Xenopus tropicalis: one gene and its partners. The protein of the gene in region 5 binds, or shares a complex with, the protein of the main gene of each other region. Links are inferred from orthologs where the notes say so. Each region holds a gene or a part of one and is shown on either strand. Other genes may lie near its edges. The genes, in order: rgmb, hjv, rgma, bmpr1a and bmp2.

Region 1 (4,236 bases), on a different chromosome or scaffold from region 5:
GAGACAGCTTTTAATAGAATTAACCAACTCTTCTTTTGATACAGGCAAGTGAGAGGGCCATAGGGTTGCCACCTTGCCAGCAGGCCCGGACCGGCAATCTGAGGATTCTGGCAAATTGCAAATGGGATGCTGTGAGATGCCATAGACAGACACTATTTAGTTGGCTGGTGGGGTGGGGAGCTGTTTGAGCCACTGTGTAGGCCAATTGGATTGTAAGCTCTATGGGGCAGGGACCTCCATTCTCTTGTTTCTTCGATTCTTATTTTATTGCAACTGTACCTTGTATTTATTTGTATTTCTATCATATTTTGTACTAATCTTTTATTTTAATAACCCCCTGTACTAATTTCTTGTTTTACTGTACAGCCATGCATACACATGTAGTGCTTTATAAATAAAGATATACATACATGCATACATACATACAAATGCCAAGGTTTACTTTAAATCCCAGTCCAGATCGGCTGGTCAGTAGTATTAATATCTGGCTGAATGTTTAATTCCAATGTTATTAATACAAAAAGAATGGAAAAGCTGGTATTTTTTTTAGAAAAAGTAGCAACCCTGCCCATGTTTACTCTGCCAGTCTGCACACGAAGTAATGGGTTGGCCCTTCTAAAGTTCCTTATGTGTTACATGGTACATGTGGGAAAGCTGCAGGGCACTGACAGTACTACAACTCTCAACCGCCTCAGTGCACTTCTGCCAAAGTGAATGTAGCAAGGACATACTGTTTCCAAGGGATTAGGGGCCCCTATTATTAGATATAGTCAAGGGCTCAAATAGGAAAGGGGGTGAAAGAGTTACTTCAAATTGGCCAACGCTATCCGCCCCAGAATAGCAAGTTACATAATGCCCACAGCTGGAGGGCCACAGGGGTATCTCTCATGCTAACAGTAAACATGTATGAGAAATTGTTACCCAGCGTTACATAGCGTGTGGGAGTTACGTTGCATCTTCCCTAAGGAGCCCCTGGCCAGTGGGGGACCCAGGTCAAATTTCTGGTCTAACACTTAGTTCCCTACACACTAAAACAGACCGTGGGCCTAATACAGTAGCTGAAGGCCGCTTTTCACGGCCAGGATAATAGAGCTGCAACTGCTGCTGAACTTCAGCTCTCCCATGGATGCTCTGAACTCAGCAATAAGTCACAGCCCCGTCTCAGCCCTGAGTTCACTGCTGTACAGAGTAACAGCCCAACCCCATTCGCTTGCTCTCTGCTCTACAACCACGCCCATTCCAGTGACTTGCTCAGCAAGGTGATGATTGACAGCACACTTCTGCCCAATGGCATCGAGCGGAGTGGGCGGGGCAAGACTAGTGAGAGTGCTGAGCACGGCTTGTTCCCGGGAGGGGGATCGGGAGAGGGCGCCGCCCAGTCAGTCTCAGCCACAAGCCTCCTGTCCCTTCCTGCATAGTCCGTGAGCTGCCGGCGCTACAGCGGGACATCCTGCTTCTTGTAACCGTGTTCCCTTCTCTCTCTCTCCCGCTCCCTTTGTTTCTCATTATGTGTCACATCGTTCCCATCTGACGTCACTCGCACCGTCCCATTATCCCTGTACGATCCCTGTTCCCTGTGCATCCATGTTTTCTTAAAACTTTGACGCAATCGTTAAGGAAGAAGAGGAAAAGAGCCGTCCGCCTTGGTACGAGCAGCTGTCACCCCGGCATTGGGAGCCCGGCACTGCCACCTGAATGGATGGGCATGGGGAAAAGGGCCGGACTCTCTTACCCCGGGGCTGAGCGGCTGCCCCCGCCTGTCGCAGCCCTGCACCTCCCCGTACTGCTGCTGCTGCTGCTGGCTCTTTGGGGGGACACAGGTAAGCACTCTCTTACTAGCGCTGTGCGAGTCTCTTTAGCGCTGTGCGAGTCTCTTTAGCGCTGTGCGAGTCTCTTTAGCGCTGTGCGAGTCTCTTTAGCGCTGTGCAAGTCTCATTAGCGCTGTGCAAGTCTCATTTACAGCTGGCGAGGATTGCAGTTCAGCAACAACTGTGTGGGCGCAATAGGGCGAAGCAATTTAGCAGACGCCAGGGAGGTTCAACCTGCCTATATTTTGCCGAACTTAAGTACCCAAACTGGACTCCTAGGACCTAATGATCCCCACATAGTCACCCTCCCCCCCGTGTTCGGCTGAACTGCAACTCCCATTTGTCTGGAGATGCCAGACGGGTTGTTCAGTAACAGCCAGAGAGCTGCATGTTGAGCATCCGTGTCTAATGCTGTTATGTTCAGTGCCAAGTCCTTTTGTTGTAGTAACAGTTTATGGCTGGATCAGGTTTTGGCTGCTGCAGAACCTCTTGCACAACCAAGCTGTTGCACTTTTTCCTGGAAGTCCTTATACAGGTATAGGGCCGTTATCCAGAATGCTCGGGACCAAGGGTATTCCGGATAAGGGGTCTTTCCGTAATTTGGATCTCCATACCTTAAGTCTGCTAGAAAATCAATAAAACATTAATTAACCCCAATAGGATTGTTTTGCATCCAATAAGGATTATTTATATCTTAGTTGGGATCAATTACAAGGTACTGTTTTATTACAACAGAGAAAAAGGAAATCTGTTTTAAAATTCTGAATTATTTGATTAAAATGGAGTCTATGGAAGACGGGCTTTCCGTAATTTGGAGCTTTCTGGATAATGGGTTTCCGGATAAGGGGTCCGATACCTGTAATAACTGAAGATTAACACAACCATTGTCCCTGTAGCCTGTCCCACCTTCTATGCTGGAGAAATGTATTTGTTACTGTGTATGAATATCTTTATGCCATTGCTCCATGAGAAGGTGCTTCTGTCAGTGACTGGTGTTAGGCTTTGGTAATGCCAAGGTAGCCATGGTCTGCGCCATGTGAGATGAATGGATACCTACTATCCCATAGTGTGGCTAACTGGAACTGCGGGATTGTCTCTAAATTTGGCTGGCTAAACCTTAAAGGAAATTACATAGGTCCTGTATGACAGTAAGGAAGTACATAAATGTACCTGCACACCCTGGGCATCTCCCTCGTCAGTAACGTGAACTTGTCAGACTTACACCCACATTGCTTATATGGAGCTTATACTGCGTTTATTGGGATATATATGGGGGCAATGCAAGGTTCCAAGGTGGTCAGACACAGGGAGGATAAGATCCGTGTTGCATTGTACCTGTTTGCATCCACATAAATAGGGTAAATTACCCACAAATTACAATCAAGCCTGTGTTTAATTTTTCTGGTTTAGGGGTATCCATTTTCATTTGGTTAATAATGGGCTCATATTGTAAGTATCAGGAGGGCAAAACCCTTGTCACTTGTCCTGTAACACCTTTCCATCCAGGGGCAGCTGGCAGGCTGCATGCAGACACCTCCCTAAATTTTATATGTCCCAAAAAGGGGACCAAGGCTTCTTTAAATCAGTGCCACCCTTACTCATTTATTGCAGTTAATCAACATCATTTGTGAAAGTCTGGCATTTTAGCTCCCACCCAACATGTAACAAACTGTCAGTTAAAGCCACACAGGTGACAGTGGAGTGCACTGCCCCTTAACCATTGATGGCTTTTAATAGATTACAGTGGGAATTACTGTAACTAGTAACAGGCTGAAATTATTGGTGGAAGGTGGGTGGCAGACAGTTAGCTACTCTTCCATGATTTTGGCCAAAAGAAAAATCATGGAAGTCAGTATGCTTGCCAATGTACTTCTTTAATTTGACAGTTAAAGGGCAAATACAACTTAATATCTGCATCTGAAAGTGCAGAAAGTTCACTTATCAGTCCCGCAGGCATGTCCAAGTGGGCACCATGCAATGATCACAGGCTGTGGTACTTGGAAACACTATAACAGTGAAGGCCGGGCTGAAGAAAACATGAACTTTTATTCTGAAGAAACCTGCAATACTTCATTAAAGGGGATTTAACAAAAAAGCCAATGTTACCTCATGAAAGAAATAGTAATTTTTAAATGTAAATATAACTACTATAAAAAAGCAGCATCTGTCCCTTTCTGTTCTGTGCCCTGGTGATTTTGACTTTAGAAACAATGTAGCAGCAGCCAGCCGAAGAAGCATATAAGGCTGACCTCCTACTGCTACATTGTTTTAAGAGACAAAGCCAGCAGTACAGAAACTACAAATAACCCCAAAATAAACGTCAATGTATTTTAGAAAGTTGCTTACACCTTTTTCTACTATAAGACAAAATGTAAATTTTGGTTTTATATCCCCTGAACATGCTCTGTGGACTATGCTTTGTTACAAA
Region 2 (3,620 bases), on a different chromosome or scaffold from region 5:
AGAAGTGCAATGCCCTGCGCTCCTATTCCCAATGTACCCGCAAAACTGCCCGCACCTGCCGCGGAGACCTGATCTACCACTCTGCAGTGCACATCATTGAAGATCTCATGATTCAGCACAACTGTTCCAAAGAGGGGCCTACAGCATCACCCAGGCCCCAACCTCCCCAGCCTCGCCCCGAAGGCCCCAGGAAACAGGAGGCCTGTGATTATGAGAGAACTTTCCGCGAGAAGCATGGCAAGATTCCAAAGTATCTCCACTGTGGGGTGTTTGGGGACCCTCATGTACGCACTTTTAGTGGTGACTTTCAGACGTGTCGAGTGAACGGGTCATGGCCTCTGTTGGATAATGAATACCTGTTTGTCCAAGCAACCAGCTCACCACTCTCCACTATGTCCAATGCCACAGTTACTACTAAGGTAAAAACCATTGCAGATTCGTCCCTATGAACTTCATTCAAAGCAAGCATGGCAAAAAAACACCATCTACAGGGCTTTTTTTAAATGACTTCAGTGTGGTTTAGGTTTGGGCAATAACTACCCCTAGGTTGCGCTGTTGGTTTTCAAAAGCCTTATGTCATCATTCCTAGGACGTCATAACAGGGCTAATATTTGCAAATTCCCTAAGGTCTTCCAAAACCTCCCTTAGGTTCTACCATGATAGTTATTCTAATTGATAATGGGCCTGTATCCAGGAGATATTAACGTGGATCCAGTCTTTGGTAGATGCTCTAGTCTACCCAACCAAGTTGATCTAAATTCCTTTCCAGCAGCTGAACACTGTCCCCTTCCTGTAGAACATTGCAGGAGTTTCAAAGCTGGACCTTGTTAGAGAAGCCACCATTAGAAGCCAAATAAGCTCCCTAGGGCCCACTACAAGCAGACAAGAAAAAGGGAAAGTTGTGCTCAACCACTAAATTGTCAACCATTAGGCGTTGGTGCAATGAGGCTGTGACCACAAAATACATATAAACAACCGCAAAAAATTCTCTGCACTCACCCATTATCAATATGTAGAAATAGGACATTAGGACATGTCCTAATGTCCTATTTCTATATATTGATAATGGGTGAGTGCAGAGGATTTTTTGCGGTTGTTTATACCCACTACAAGCAGGACAGGCATTTTTACACATAAACCTGGATTTACAGAGGTATTGTTTTCTTGTTATTCTCCATAATGATGCTTTATTTATTCTCATAGATCACCATCATCTTCAAAAACATGAAGCAGTGCATAGATCAGAAGGTTTACCAAGCTGAAGTGGACAACTTACCAGCAGCCTTCGATGATGGCTCAGTCAATGGAGGTAGACGAGCGGGTGGAAGTAACCTTAAGATTTACGACAGGGAGCCCGGGAGCTTAATAGAGATCGAGGCCCCTTATATTGGAACCACCATACGAGTTCGCCAGTTGGCCAAGCAGCTTTCATTCTCCCTGCGCATGCCTGAGGACATCTCATTGGCTTTCCAAGAGGAACAGGACTTGCAGCTATGCATGGGAGGATGCCCAGCTAGCCAATTCATATCTAGGACTAAGGATGTTGGTAGGACAAGCTCTATCAGCACCGACAAGGCCAAATCTATGTGTAGAGCGAAACTCCCAGTTGAGGATGCTTATTTCCAGTCTTGTGTGTTTGATGTGGCCATATCTGGAGATGCCAACATGACAAATGCAGCCTACTATGCCTTGGAGGATGCCAAAGACTTTCTCCCTGAACCAGGAATGTTACATATATTCAGCACAGGAGCAGCAAATGGTCGGCATATACCTGTTGCCTTAATACTTCTGCTGTGCCTGGCTAACACCGTGCAGAACCTGTAGCTATTTGGGCGTTGCATGTTGCAAACAAAGGCCTGGACACAAATGTGAAGATGGTGGACCCAATGTTTGGCAGAAGCTAGATCATTGAAACTGATAGGATTGCCGTCAGTTCTGGTGCAATTCCTTTAGGCACAGCTATTGTACATCTCAGGGCCTATTGTACATATCACGCCTCTGCCAGAAAGACTCTAAATCCCAAACTATTTATCATAAAAACCCTTTTGGATGTTCTTCTGGATGTTCTATGTCACCACTGATCCAAATCACAATGGCCAATGTCATTACGGAACTTTATCACACAAACACCTATATATATATAAATATTAGGTCTTCAAGTAGGGGGGATAAAGGGCACAGACTATATGCCCTTTCACAAAAAAAACTATTTCAAAATGCACCTTCCTAAATCTGAAAGTATATATATATATATTTATATTTTATATTTAGAATGTTTGTTGGCTTAGCAGGAAAATATAGCTTAATAGGGCAGTTTATTTTCCACCATGTTCTTGTAAAATGATGGTTTTGCCCAAGCAGCCATTATCTCTCACTGGTTTGCAAACATCTTTATCACCTCCCACAGCCCTCCCATTGTTCTATAAAGCCCTAATAAGGAGCCAGAAGGGGTGTGGCCTGACATCATTGAAGGAGTGGTCAGGCAAACAGGGCTGTAAATGGAATTCTTCCTATCGGGCACAACTATAGGGCGATGACTTGTAGCATGTACAAACCAGTCCCATATAACTAAGGCACAATACACTTCAATAGTCATTTATGGAACTGCACATCAACATTTCAGATCCTTGTTGCTGTCTTTTTAGATTGAGTAAAGCAAATGAAACCCTAAAAAACAACTTACCGTATAGTTGCTCTTCTGAGCACTTTTGCAATTTACATTTAATATTTTCTAGTTTACGAGATAGTGGCACTTTTCATACTACTAATATGATGCTGTGCGCCACCTGTTGGTAATGTAGACCAACTGAAACATGAAGTTAGTGAAAAATGGAAAGCCTTGTGATGTTGTTCTGCTCAGAAAATTCAGTAAGTGAGCACAGAAGAGTCATCTGATGTTTCTCTGGTTGGTTCTAAGGGTAGCGACAATGCAAAACTTTTCCTTTTTTCACTTCATTTTACACCGACTGTGTCCAGTCATTGAAAATTAACAGCAGGTGGTTTTTTATATATAATATATCATATAGCAGTGTTAAAACTAATAATACGTTGAACACTAGAAGAGAGTTTATTAATACAAATTGCAAAAATGCTCAGAGGAGCACACAGAGTGAGTTTACATTACATAGTAATATGTTAACATATATACATATTTTAGGTTGAAAAAAGACCATCCATGGAGTTCAACCTGCCTGCACTTATCTGAGTTCAAAAATCTAAAATGAGAATGAACCATTAAATCCCACATTTCCAATCCGGCCCTATTGTGGTCCAGTAAGGCTGCACTGGTCTCTCACCACCAGGTGGCGACAGTTCATAGCATAAACCTTATGAAACCTGAGCGACAAGACGGTTGTAGCAGATTTATTAGCGTGTATTATTAGCGCAAGGCATTTCAATAGCATTAAAAGTACAGAGAATATCTGTGCAAATGGTACGATCCAGCAGCACTGGGGTTAAACCACTGTAGATAAGTATCGGTTGCCTGGACAGAAATATTTAATATATTGAGGTTGAATGTTTTATTAAAAATGGGTTCTATTTTTTTGTGAGATTTGTTTTTATATGTTAAATTAATAGGGGGGACAGTGTGGGGTAAGTTGGAGCGCTGTATTTGTGGT
Region 3 (3,597 bases), on a different chromosome or scaffold from region 5:
ATAGGGATAGTTCACAGCACATATATATATGTTTAGCATTTCCTCAGGGCATGACTTACATGAATACAGGCTAGGCCTGTTATTACTAAATCACTGCTCAGCCCAAAGGTCATTAAAAGCTTATGTAAATGATTTGCATTTTCAGTGCTGCACCTTATCTGCCCCTTAGGTGAGTGCTGACAAGAAACCTACTCGCACAATCTGATCTTCCTTAGAAAGTTGCCATAAAGGCTTTGCAGGGACCTTTGTGGCTCAAGCTGCCCTTTCAAGGGGCCTTCCTGAAATCAGATACAGGCGAGGGGACACTGCATTATAATAGTTAATGTGCAGTCTGTTTGTGGAAGGCTGTTATACCATCAGGGAAATTGCTGCTGAAGTCTAAATAGTGAGCTGCTCCAAAGTGAATGACTTAAGGTAGGCCAAACTAATCCATCCCTGTGACAAAGGACAATGAGAGGCAAGTTACTAAAGCCTGGATGTGCCTTGTGGGCTACGGGGAGGCATTATTTCTGCTTCCTTGGTTTGTTGACCCAACAGGAAGCAGCTGGTTGCCTGGGACATGAGTTAAGCCAGACCCAGAAATCATAGATCTATATCTGAATAAAGATCGTAGAAATGGGCACAACTCTGCCCATAGGATATAAGTGTTCTATAAATATCCAGTGCCACTGTCTCTGCTACAGCACTGTACGGCTGTTAAAGAAAGTCAATATATATAACAAAATAGGTCTCAGCACTATAGCAGCTTTATGGGCAGCTGGGAAGACTATTGGTGTGTGAAAAGTACATATTGCAAATGTCACTCAGCGGCTTTACCTGGCAACCCAGGGGCAACCCTTGAAATGAGGTATAATCATGTGCAAATATGTTGTGTTTACCTTGCTGGTGGCTGTGGCAATTGATCCTGGAAGCACGGGAGTGTTGGTAACCTGCACATTCAAGTAATTATTGTCTATGAGGGGCCAAGCACCTTGTATTTTGCAGGTCTGGAAAGTGTCTGAAAACGTCCTAAGGTGTGGGTCTCCAAAGAGGCCACAGTGGGTATAGTTTGGAAGGGCAGAGGGTCTGTGGAAGCTTTTCTCATAATGGCATATTTCGGGGCTGTCGGAGCGCTCTTGGCTGTCCCCTGGAGGCAAGATGCGTATGCGTGGCTGAGAGGTGGGGCCATCCTTGGAGCAGTTATGGTGGCTCATGAGGTCATCAATGCCATGGACAGTTGAATGGTAAGCAAGGTCTCCTCTGCAAGTGCGTGCCGTGCGTCGGCTGCAGTGGGCGTAGGTGCGCAGTGCGGTGCAGATCTCCACTGTGTCCTCAGGTCCTGCGTGATGATGTGGGTTTGAAGTCGCTTGCAAGTAGTCGGCAGTGCACTTCAAAATCTTGCACGATGAGCTCACTATGCGGAGAGAAATACAGAGAGTCAACATCCAGCCGACACACAACATGCTATAGAGCAACTTCACGCCACCCTCATTTACAAACATCAGCACTTCCTGGTTGGTTTCCAGGAATCTTACTTGGTATTTAAAGGATATTATATTTACCATTTAGAGAAAATAAAACACCATTTCTTGCCAAACCCAAGTAAATAACCTATTGCTGAGCCGAGCCAAGCATGCCTGTTACCATTCTATAAGAGAAGTGAATTCATCTGGGTCTGTAAAGGCATTGTCACACATACGTGCTAGAGCAACCAGTGTGGCAGCTCTCACCAAACACATACAGATGTATGTATGATGCTTTATGTACATAGAACGGACACAGTTACCTAGGGTAGTATGACAATGGCACAGAGGGGAACTCCTAGCACTTTGCTCTATGGGATTGGAAGAGTTGCAAAACATTAAAAATTCCCCTTATTCAAAGTGAATGGGAAGACAGGAAAAGCCCAAACCCTGTCCAGAGCAGTATATTATACAGAATCCATACAGCGCTCCTAGCACCATCCTACCATAGTGAGTGACTGGAGGAAAGGGGCTGGCCATGCTATGGTGGAAGGGTCAGCAGTGCAGCGAGGGGCACATGAAACTCATTGCTGTTTTGTTGCACCGCAGACTGTTTCTCAACCACAAATACAATTATTGTGAAGCTGAGGGCTCAGGGAGAGTAAGCAGCTCCAGCACGGACAGCGCCTGTGTATTTAGCACAATCAGCAGCGAGTCAATAAGTCCTTCTTTATTGGGCCAGACCAAGTACAAATGTCAGCCAGTTGCACTCAGCCAGTATAATGCAGCCGGCAATAAAGAGCCATCCCGCCTGGCAGGGCCGTGCTAATCCTGACACCCACCCCCACACACCTTACTGGATGTTTGGAGATATGTTCTTGGGAGGGGGCGGCAGGGCAGCTTTTTGTAACTGAGAGACACTGCTGAACATGGGGGGACCCTCACTGCGGGGTTTCCCTATACAGCAAGGGGCTTGTGAATGCATGCATGCCTGCTTTCCCCCCACCCAATACAGGCCCCTATGGGCAGCCACTATATCTTATAAATGGGAGCAGAGCACCGCTTGAATCTAGGGTGCAGGAATAATACAGCACATTATGGGACTGCTTTCTGTATCCCATTCTAGCAGGGGCTGGCTGTCTGGGAGTTTCAGTTGAATTGCATTTGCAGAACAGCTCATTCTGTATTGCTTGTTTGTGCCTGAAGAAGCATAACCTGAGCAGGCGTTGGTGCCAAAACAAAGAAGCTGCCTCTGTAGTTTAAATATACTGTAAAAGAACTAAAGGGCAACTATAGAGGGAGGTGTAAACTGTTCCGCTGCCCAGCCCAGGGCTTCCTGTTGTGCACTTGGTGATATTGTAGCTTCCCTGTGGCCTCTGTCGCACGTACACACGTGGCCTGCTGAGCCACGGGCCAACCGCTGCCCCACTACAACCCTTGCTGTTCTCACTCAGCACCTTATGGGATCTCAGTAGATATACAACTACAGGGGTCCTATACTTTGGAGCCAGTCTGCCATGCAAGTATTCAAACCGGACATCATTCACAGCCTGTGCAGGCTCCTCTATACTCTTGGGCCCCCAGGAGCCGCTGGTTCTGCTCCCCTAAGAACCTGAAAGGTACATCCCCTTGCACTCTGCTAACATACGCTTTTTTTTTTTTTCACTTTACTCTCAAGAGCATCAATTTGTTCAGTAATTGAATGATTCACAGTAATTATAATAAATGGGTCTCTGTGCCTGGAAGCCATAGATAATGACGAGTGGAAGCAGCAAGCAGTAGGGGTGTAGTTCCCATTCAGTCATACTGACAAATCTTCCACACTTGCACTAACACTCTAGGAAGGTTTCAGAATTAACTAAAACACACCAAAAATTTCCCGAGTGTGGCACCGCAGCCACGGAATTATGCATCAGAGCGAGAATGAGAAGATCAGTGCTGGGGGTCCAGGATTCAATTCCAGCCAGGGCATCTACAAGGTGTCTGTATGTACTCCCTCAGGTGGCGTGGGGTTTATCCCCATATTCCAAAAACAGTCAGGTTAAGTGATTCCTGGTAACATTGCCAATATTATGTGTTAATGTAATAGGGACCTTAAATAGTAAGCTCTACTGGGCCAGAAGTTGATATGAATGACAATCTCTATAAAAGACAA
Region 4 (3,620 bases), on a different chromosome or scaffold from region 5:
ACTGTATAATCAACAGATAAAAATATAATTTGGCATTAGTTTAAAGTTATGTGAAAGAGTTAAATTCTAACAAAACCTACTAACACAAAAGCAGCAGTTTGTTTCGGTTTGTTTAGGGTTGCAGTAGATCCATGCCCTTTAATTGACAGTAAGTTTATGTGCACACACATGCTTTCAAATATTCAGATTTGAAAGCAAAAACATTAGGTCAATATTAAGGGGCCAATTTATTAAAACACGAGTTCGAATCCCAAATGGGAAAAATTCGGATTGGATACAATAATTTCTAAAGAAATGCTTACGAAATAATCGTATTAGTCACGATAATATCGTATTGGCGATCCGAAAGATTGTAAACAGCAGCAGAACCTTTCCGAATTTTTCGTGCAAGCGTACGAAAAAGTTACGCAAGCATACGAAAAAAATACACGGAGCATTCGTGTCTTGATAAATCTCCTAAGTGTCCGCAATTCTTTAGATTCGTTTTGTATTGTGTTGCTATATTGCTTTAAAAAACTTAGATGCAAAAAATGGAAAACTGGAATAAATGCCTGTGAGCATTGCAATTTACTTTATATTAAATCTTAAATGCATGAACCCTAAGGGCTGTGTCACACCCAGGCAATTTCTTTACCAGCATACTTGCGCCAGGTGTGAAAATAACAATCCGATTTCTTTTTCCCCAACATCACTGTGCACTGAATGACAGTTCTGGCGTTGGCCTGTTAATGCCCAATGGGGTAGATTTTGGAATGAAAATACAAACTTAAGCTTTCTGCACTGAAATCCACTCCATCTGTTCACAATTAGGCTAATACAGCACTGATCAGTGCACAGTAATGTGGAGATAGAGGACACATTTTGGCATTTACATCCCTGGCATAAATATTCTGGTGATGTGAGGGCAGAGCTTTTTATTAGTACTTTGCATTTATTACATTAGTATTTCCATACACATGGTTAAACCAGAGACCAGCTATGCAGACGTGTTATATGCAAACTGACCTTATGCTTATGTAGCAGAACTGAAACCACTGGAGAGGACATTTGAGATGACATTTTTCTTTCATTGTTTCAGATGCAGAATATGGTTTGCGCTTCATTGCTCTTATCATTTCGTTGGTGGTCTGTGTGATTATTATAGCCGGCTTCATTCTTATCATTTGGCTTTACAAGTAAGACATTATTTGAATAGTATTGAATTATTTGTTGTTGTTCTTTACCTGTGTGTCTTGGACTTTGTACAATGATTATTTTGTGTTGTAGCTCACTACATAAACCTGGGGTGATTATTGATATTGCTACTGTATTACAGTAGTCACTGATGATTGCACCCTTATTTATAGTAGTTGCAGTAAGTAGAATATGAACTGATTTGCTTGTCATTGACTCAAACATATAATACTATTGTTTACTGGGCACAGATACACCAGTTAGTTTAAATTAGCCAAATGGGATGTAACTGTATTTGTCAACAACTGTAGTGACTGCATACTGTTCTTTACATAGTTACTGTTAAGAAAAAGGCCAATAAATTAGGATTATGTCAGTACAGGTGTGGTATCTATCTAAGCTCTGCATGGATTAATTTAATGCAATGCAAAATATTAAAGGGGCTGTTCACCTTTAAGTAAACTTTATTATGATTTAGATAGTAGTATTCTGAGACAATTTTCAATGTTTTTCATTTTCCATTCAGGAGCTCTCTAGTGTGGTGGTTCAGCATTTTTTTGGTAACTAGGGTCCAAGTTACCTTAGCAACCAGGAAATGGTTGGGAAGAATGACTTGTATATGAATAGGAGAGGGCCTGAATAGAAAAGAAAGCTACAAAAAGTAACAACAGCAAAACTGTAACCTCACAGAGCAAATACTTTTTTGGCTGGTGGGGTCAGTGTTTTCCATTCAGAAACTTCAAAGAGTTGCAAGAAAAATGTGAATAATTCAAAAACTAAAATAAATAATGAATGCCATTTGAAAAGTTAATAAACCATAACTATTCTAATTATGTGACAGGACAGCAGTGCTGGAATTTTTTAACAGTTGAGTTGAGGTTTGCCATTTATTGTTACTATCATCTCTTTGTAATTAGAATTCTATATATTGTGCATGTCACTTTTTGCCACAAACAATGGAGGTACTTCTCTCTTTCTGCCTTCTTTGTTTTTAAGGGTTACGAATTGATTTTAAAATTTATAGCCAATAAATAGTGATAGTGTACTTCATAAAGCATGTTACGTTTTGCAGTATCTAAGCACTGATAAGAGAATAGTCCAGTTTTAGCCCCTGGGTGCCCTTTTTCTTGTACATATATAATTGAGAGTGATTTATATTAGTGCCTATGTATATTGGTGCAATCACCTTGGACATACAAGTGTAATTTTTTTACAGACATAAACTGCATTCCCAAAGGATGCTATATAACAGGAATTTGGACCCCGATGATGCCTTTATACCTGCAGGGGAGTCCCTTAAGGCTCTTATTGATATATCACAAAGCTCTGGTAGTGGCTCTGGGCTGCCTTTATTGGTAAGTATAAATTTCTTTTAACTTCTTTTTTGTTGTTATTGATAATACATTTATTTAATCATGTGATGCTTTAAATCTGTAGGTGCAGCGTACTATAGCGAAGCAGATCCAAATGGTTAGACAGATAGGAAAGGGAAGGTATGGTGAAGTATGGATGGGAAAATGGAGAGGAGAGAAGGTGGCTGTCAAAGTGTTCTTTACTGCTGAAGAAGCCAGCTGGTTCCGGGAAACTGAAATCTACCAAACTGTCCTCATGCGACATGAGAATATACTTGGTAAGTGCATAAGGAACACTCTACCCAGTCTACTCAGCCCTGTACTATGTAGACATTGCATAGCCTTATATTATTATAACTTGTAACCACATTTATAAAGACTTAAATAAGCACCTTAATATAAGATTGTATCAAGGGAGCTAATGGCCATAAGATAAATACATTTTTTTTTTTTTTTTTTTTCATTTTTAGGTTTCATAGCAGCTGATATTAAAGGAACAGGCTCATGGACACAAATGTACCTAATAACAGAGTATCATGAAAATGGATCATTGTATGACTTCCTTAAGTGTACCACTCTGGATACTAGATCTTTACTCAAGCTTGCTTATTCAGCAGCCTGTGGATTATGTCACCTCCACACTGAAATATATGGCACTCAAGGAAAACCTGCCATTGCACACAGGGATCTGAAAAGTAAAAACATACTTATAAAAGAAAATTGGACATGCTGCATTGCTGACCTGGGACTTGCAGTAAAATTTAACAGGTATGCTGTGTCTCGCTCTGTGTTCACAACTGAGGTTACGTATGCTGTGGTACAGTACAGTATGAAAAGTGCAGCTACAGGCAAACATTTCACTATAAGGTGTCTTGTATATTTATTTTATTAAAAGATGTTTTGTTCAAGGTGTCCCCAGCTGTTTTCAAGCGCTTCTTCCAGCCTCTGTAGCTGAATAAATAAGATTTTCTACAAAATAACAGAATATGTTACGTTCACTTTTTTCAAGTTATAAAAACATTTTTTGTAGAGAAAACCCACCCTAGCCATCTTATTTGTGCAGTTTAACAAAAAGAAGTGGCATTGTCTCTTACT
Region 5 (3,620 bases):
AGAATCGCTATATTCAAGCTAGACATTCAGTGTATGCGCAGACAGATAGTGGGTCTGTGGGCCTACACACCTGCAAAAATAATTCCAGATTTTATGAATGAATGCTTAGTGCTCCATGGAATTTGTATGTCTCCTCAGTAGTAGTGAAAAAGACACAATAGACTTAAATGAAAACACTATATATGCTAATGCTCGTGATGCCCTTCTAGGCTTGCCATGGTCTTCAGTTGACCATAAGATTGAGTGTGGATCAGATGGTTCTGCCTCAGTATAGTTGTGCCAGCTGCCTTTGAGCTTTTATGGGAAGCAGCTGGGTGGAATTCCCTACGAAAGGTCTTGGCATCTGGCAAAGAAGCAGCTACAACTTACAGCTAAACAAATCTGTAGGCTCGTCCTGTTCCACAACTCCTGTTACCACTTTTTTGAGGGGTAATTAGCCTTAGCTATATTATTCCTTGGGTGACTGTTCTATAGTTATATAATGTAGAGTAACCAAATTGCGGTAGAGTAAATCCGATTCTGCTTTCCAGTTAGTGACTCATGCATGGAGGGATAGACAGCATGAGTCATTAGGTTGAATCAGGGAAGAAATTTATGGGTAAGTATGCCCAATAGCTGGCAGATAGAGGTGGCATGTTGTGATCATCATGCCTTGTGGTTTTGGAACACTTTTCATTCTAGTGTAATACAGTTGTCATCTCACATATCTTTCTCACAGTCCTTTGCTGTACAGAATTCTTCGCTTTCAGAGATATTTGTTCTTGTGCTGCTCAACAGCAAACACTCCAATGACAAACGTCCTATATGCTTTTGATCTCCTGACTTGCACCCCTTTGTTTTAGCCTGAATCATATAGTCCATATAGCTGGCATTTCTCATAAATTATTAGTATCCTTTGGGAATGCAAGCTTTGATGAGCAGGGCCCTCCTTATCTCCTGTATTTGTATGTCTGATGTCTACACCCTTCTAGAACTGCATGTAAACTAACTATACAGTGCTGTAAGCAGTTAACTCCTAGCCACAAGCCCTCCTATTGTTTTTGTTGAACTTCTTAAATGTGCCCCTAATTACACTTTACTGCAGCGCCAATAAAAATTTCCTTTCATGATGTTTACGCTACAATAAGTTGGGCTGCTTTTCTTCTTGTGCCCTTGTGGGGAAATCTTTGCGTAACTAGGAAGGTCACTAGCCAAACTACAATGATTTTGTTTCAGCATGGTTACCATTGAGGGCTGCATATAGCTACTGGCCTGACATCACATGAAGATGGGGGGGTCGTCAGTATTGCCCAGATGTCTATCAAGCAGGTTTGATTTTTTTCCATTGGATTGGGGACCGCATTGGTTCATTGATGCAGTCATCACTCCAACGGATCCTATTTCCATCATTGTAATTAGATCTGTGGCCCTTGGGCCAAGCGAATGGATTACTCAGAGATTGCCCTCCTTAGGTGGGCTTGTCAGTGGAAAGATTCACTCGTTTGGTGACCTCTCCAAAGGAGTGGCTCTTATGGTGTATGGCCACTTTATATTTATATTATTACCCAGTATTTTGATAGGCGTCACCCCATATTGACTATAACATCACATCTACCATAACGTATGAATTCCTTTGACCATTAGTCTCCTGATTGATCCTTCTGAGGCCCATGAAGTTTGCTTATAACGGTTCTGTGACTTGTAACTTTGGAAGAATTACAATCCTAAAGCAAGGCTGGACTGCTGCTAATTAATTCAAAGTATGTGATGGACAACATATATCATGTTTTCAACCTGCATGTCTTTTTGGTCTTGCCAACACACTGGCATCTTATGTAACGTCGAACAACTAACAGCTGTAGCCATTTTATAGTTTCTAATTGCTGCAGTTTGAGAGAATGCCATTGAAATATATACAGTGTGGGCTACCAATCACACTGAAGAGAAACTAATGGGCCAGATTCTTATATTAGAAAACATAGCAAATCGTACCAGTACCTTTTTTATAGCGTTACTCCCAGTCATGAAAGCAACCATCATGCAGCAGACATTATGGAATGTATTTAATGGTGGTATTTGTGAGTCTGAGTATGAAAATAAGAAATATCCTAGTGCCCCCCCCCAACCTAATTTATCTGCAGATTTCAAATAAACAACTGAACAAACCAGAGGGGGTGAAATTGCATACATTCTGCAGACTTCTCTTGCAAGTAGCCCACAGGATGTCCTGTAATGTCTGCTACCACAGGCACCACTAATTCCCCCACTTCCTAAGGCTGTTTGGATTGCTGTTTCTGAGTTTTTAGGAAATCGGTAATGTAGTGCTTTCTAAGTTATTGCCTGGGTGTTTTATGTCTGCCACAATTAGAAAAAGAATAAAAGTAGAGAGAACTGTAATAAATGAACGCCAAAATACAACCAAAAAGAGTTATGGAAGAGTCTATTCAGTTACAAAAATAAACATATTTTTTTTTTTATTCTGATCTGAGATGTAAACAGAAGCGTGAATGAAGTGAAAGCTTACAATTTTCTAACCGTAAATCATTTATAGCTTTTATACCAGGTGAGGTTGCAGGGAAACCCTTGGAGAGGTTTATAAAGAAACCTGTCCATGTGAAATTCTGATATCTGAAAGGTCGCATAGAAAGCACCAGTCTTTAAATGATTCTTTATGGATGATGATCTAGGAATTCCATTAAAATTGTCAGGTGGCCATACATGGCTATAATCTGCTTGCAGATGGTAGTAAGTTTTTTTGACCTGTGTACGTCTATCTGACCAATATCTGGCCAGATATCTTTTGGATTGAGAATCATGTTAGGCAAGGACTGCATTGGTGCATTGATCTAGTCCAGTGATCCCCAACCAGTGGCTCAGGGCAACATGTTGCTCCCCAACCCCTCTCAGTGCCCCCAAACCAGGGAGTTATTTTTGAATTCCTGACTTGTGGGCAAGTTTTGGTTGAATAAAAACAAGATTTCCTACCAAATAAAGCCCCCTGTAAGCTGATAGTGTGCATAGAGGCTCTCTAATAGCCAATCTTAGCCCTTATTTGGCTCCTCCATGAACTTTTATGGTACTTGTATTGCTCTCCAAGTCTTTTTACATTTGGCTGTGGCTCACGAGTAAGAGGTTGGGGATCTCTGGTCTAGTCCAACAGGTCTTCCTAGGCCTGAAATAGGATCATCCTGCTTTGGCTCAGCAATGGGTGGCCAAATCAGGCAGAGATCTGTTCTTTTGTCAGCCTCACAAACTAGCTGATATTAAGGTGTATGGCCAGCTTAAGCTTGGGGTGGTTAACTCCACTGGTTGCAATTAGTAGAGAGAGATGGTGAAACTAAACACAAGATAATTCTGTTTTAAGTTTATACTTCTTTCCTTTATTTCTAATACTTCTTCTTTTCCTTTGAAAATAGAATCCATGGAAGAAATTCCCGAGTCTGGCGAGAAAACAATCCAACGATTCTTCTTCAACCTTTCTTCAGTTCCGAACGAGGAGCTGGTCACTTCTGCCGAGCTACGGATTTTTCGAGAGGGGGTCCAGGAGCCATTTGAGGGTGACAGCAGCAAACTTCATCGGATTAATATTTATGATATTGTCAAGCCAGCAGCGGCTGCCTCCCGGGGCCCCGTTGTAAGAC

Evidence for each region.
Region 1: the proteins of bmp2 (region 5) and rgmb are in contact, whole or in part, in a crystal structure (PDB 4UI2), measured with the Homo sapiens proteins. The link is inferred for Xenopus tropicalis from reciprocal best matches to the Homo sapiens genes BMP2 and RGMB. Residues at the interface, in NP_001191.1 of Homo sapiens: Val308, Gly309, Trp310, Trp313, Met371, Tyr373, Leu374, Asp375, Glu376, Tyr385, Met388; in NP_001353437.1 of Homo sapiens: Lys97, Arg100, Gly101, Leu103, His106, Ser107, Leu110.
Region 2: the proteins of bmp2 (region 5) and hjv are in contact, whole or in part, in a crystal structure (PDB 4UI1), measured with the Homo sapiens proteins. The link is inferred for Xenopus tropicalis from reciprocal best matches to the Homo sapiens genes BMP2 and HJV. Residues at the interface, in NP_001191.1 of Homo sapiens: Phe331, Pro332, Ala334, Asp335, Leu337, Asn341, Ile344, Val345, Leu348, Ser351, Val352; in NP_001366281.1 of Homo sapiens: Leu40, Asn43, Tyr46, Val47, Tyr86, Leu101, Ala102, Ser105, Ala106, His108, Gly109, Ile110, Asp112, Leu113.
Region 3: the proteins of bmp2 (region 5) and rgma are in contact, whole or in part, in a crystal structure (PDB 4UHY), measured with the Homo sapiens proteins. The link is inferred for Xenopus tropicalis from reciprocal best matches to the Homo sapiens genes BMP2 and RGMA. Residues at the interface, in NP_001191.1 of Homo sapiens: Val308, Gly309, Trp310, Asp312, Trp313, Met371, Tyr373, Leu374, Asp375, Glu376, Lys383, Tyr385, Met388; in NP_064596.2 of Homo sapiens: Arg91, Arg94, Gly95, Leu97, His100, Ser101, His104.
Region 4: the proteins of bmp2 (region 5) and bmpr1a are in contact, whole or in part, in a crystal structure (PDB 2QJ9), measured with the Homo sapiens proteins. The link is inferred for Xenopus tropicalis from reciprocal best matches to the Homo sapiens genes BMP2 and BMPR1A. Residues at the interface, in NP_001191.1 of Homo sapiens: Lys297, Pro330, Phe331, Pro332, Leu333, Ala334, Asp335, His336, Ser339, Asn341, Ile344, Val345, Leu348, Asn350, Ser351, Val352, Asn353, Ser354; in NP_001393490.1 of Homo sapiens: His66, Cys67, Pro68, Asp69, Ile77, Thr78, Asn79, Phe83, Ile85, Cys100, Met101, Lys102, Glu104, Gly105, Phe108, Gln109, Asp112, Arg120, Ile122.

Annotation. Positions count from the first base shown.
Region 1 is NC_030677.2:176,215,750-176,219,985, reverse strand, and holds the start of rgmb (RGM domain family member B precursor), read left to right. Parts: upstream 1-1,392; 5' UTR 1,393-1,699; coding exon 1,700-1,820; intron 1,821-4,236. UniProt on the Homo sapiens protein: Member of the repulsive guidance molecule (RGM) family that contributes to the patterning of the developing nervous system. Acts as a bone morphogenetic protein (BMP) coreceptor that potentiates BMP signaling. Promotes neuronal adhesion.
Region 2 is NC_030684.2:128,546,944-128,550,563, reverse strand, and holds part of hjv (hemojuvelin), read left to right. Parts: coding exon 1-419; intron 420-1,203; coding exon 1,204-1,824; 3' UTR 1,825-3,620. UniProt on the Homo sapiens protein: Acts as a bone morphogenetic protein (BMP) coreceptor. Through enhancement of BMP signaling regulates hepcidin (HAMP) expression and regulates iron homeostasis.
Region 3 is NC_030679.2:112,524,132-112,527,728, forward strand, and holds part of rgma (repulsive guidance molecule A), read right to left. Parts: intron 2,272-3,597; exon of another isoform or gene 1,545-2,271; coding exon of another isoform or gene 1,394-1,544; coding exon 879-1,393; intron 1-878.
Region 4 is NC_030683.2:49,342,331-49,345,950, forward strand, and holds part of bmpr1a (bone morphogenetic protein receptor type-1A), read left to right. Parts: intron 1-1,078; coding exon 1,079-1,175; intron 1,176-2,389; coding exon 2,390-2,528; intron 2,529-2,610; coding exon 2,611-2,803; intron 2,804-2,995; coding exon 2,996-3,293; intron 3,294-3,620. UniProt on the Homo sapiens protein: On ligand binding, forms a receptor complex consisting of two type II and two type I transmembrane serine/threonine kinases.
Region 5 is NC_030681.2:25,399,342-25,402,961, forward strand, and holds part of bmp2 (bone morphogenetic protein 2 precursor), read left to right. Parts: intron 1-3,395; coding exon 3,396-3,620. UniProt on the Homo sapiens protein: Growth factor of the TGF-beta superfamily that plays essential roles in many developmental processes, including cardiogenesis, neurogenesis, and osteogenesis. Induces cartilage and bone formation.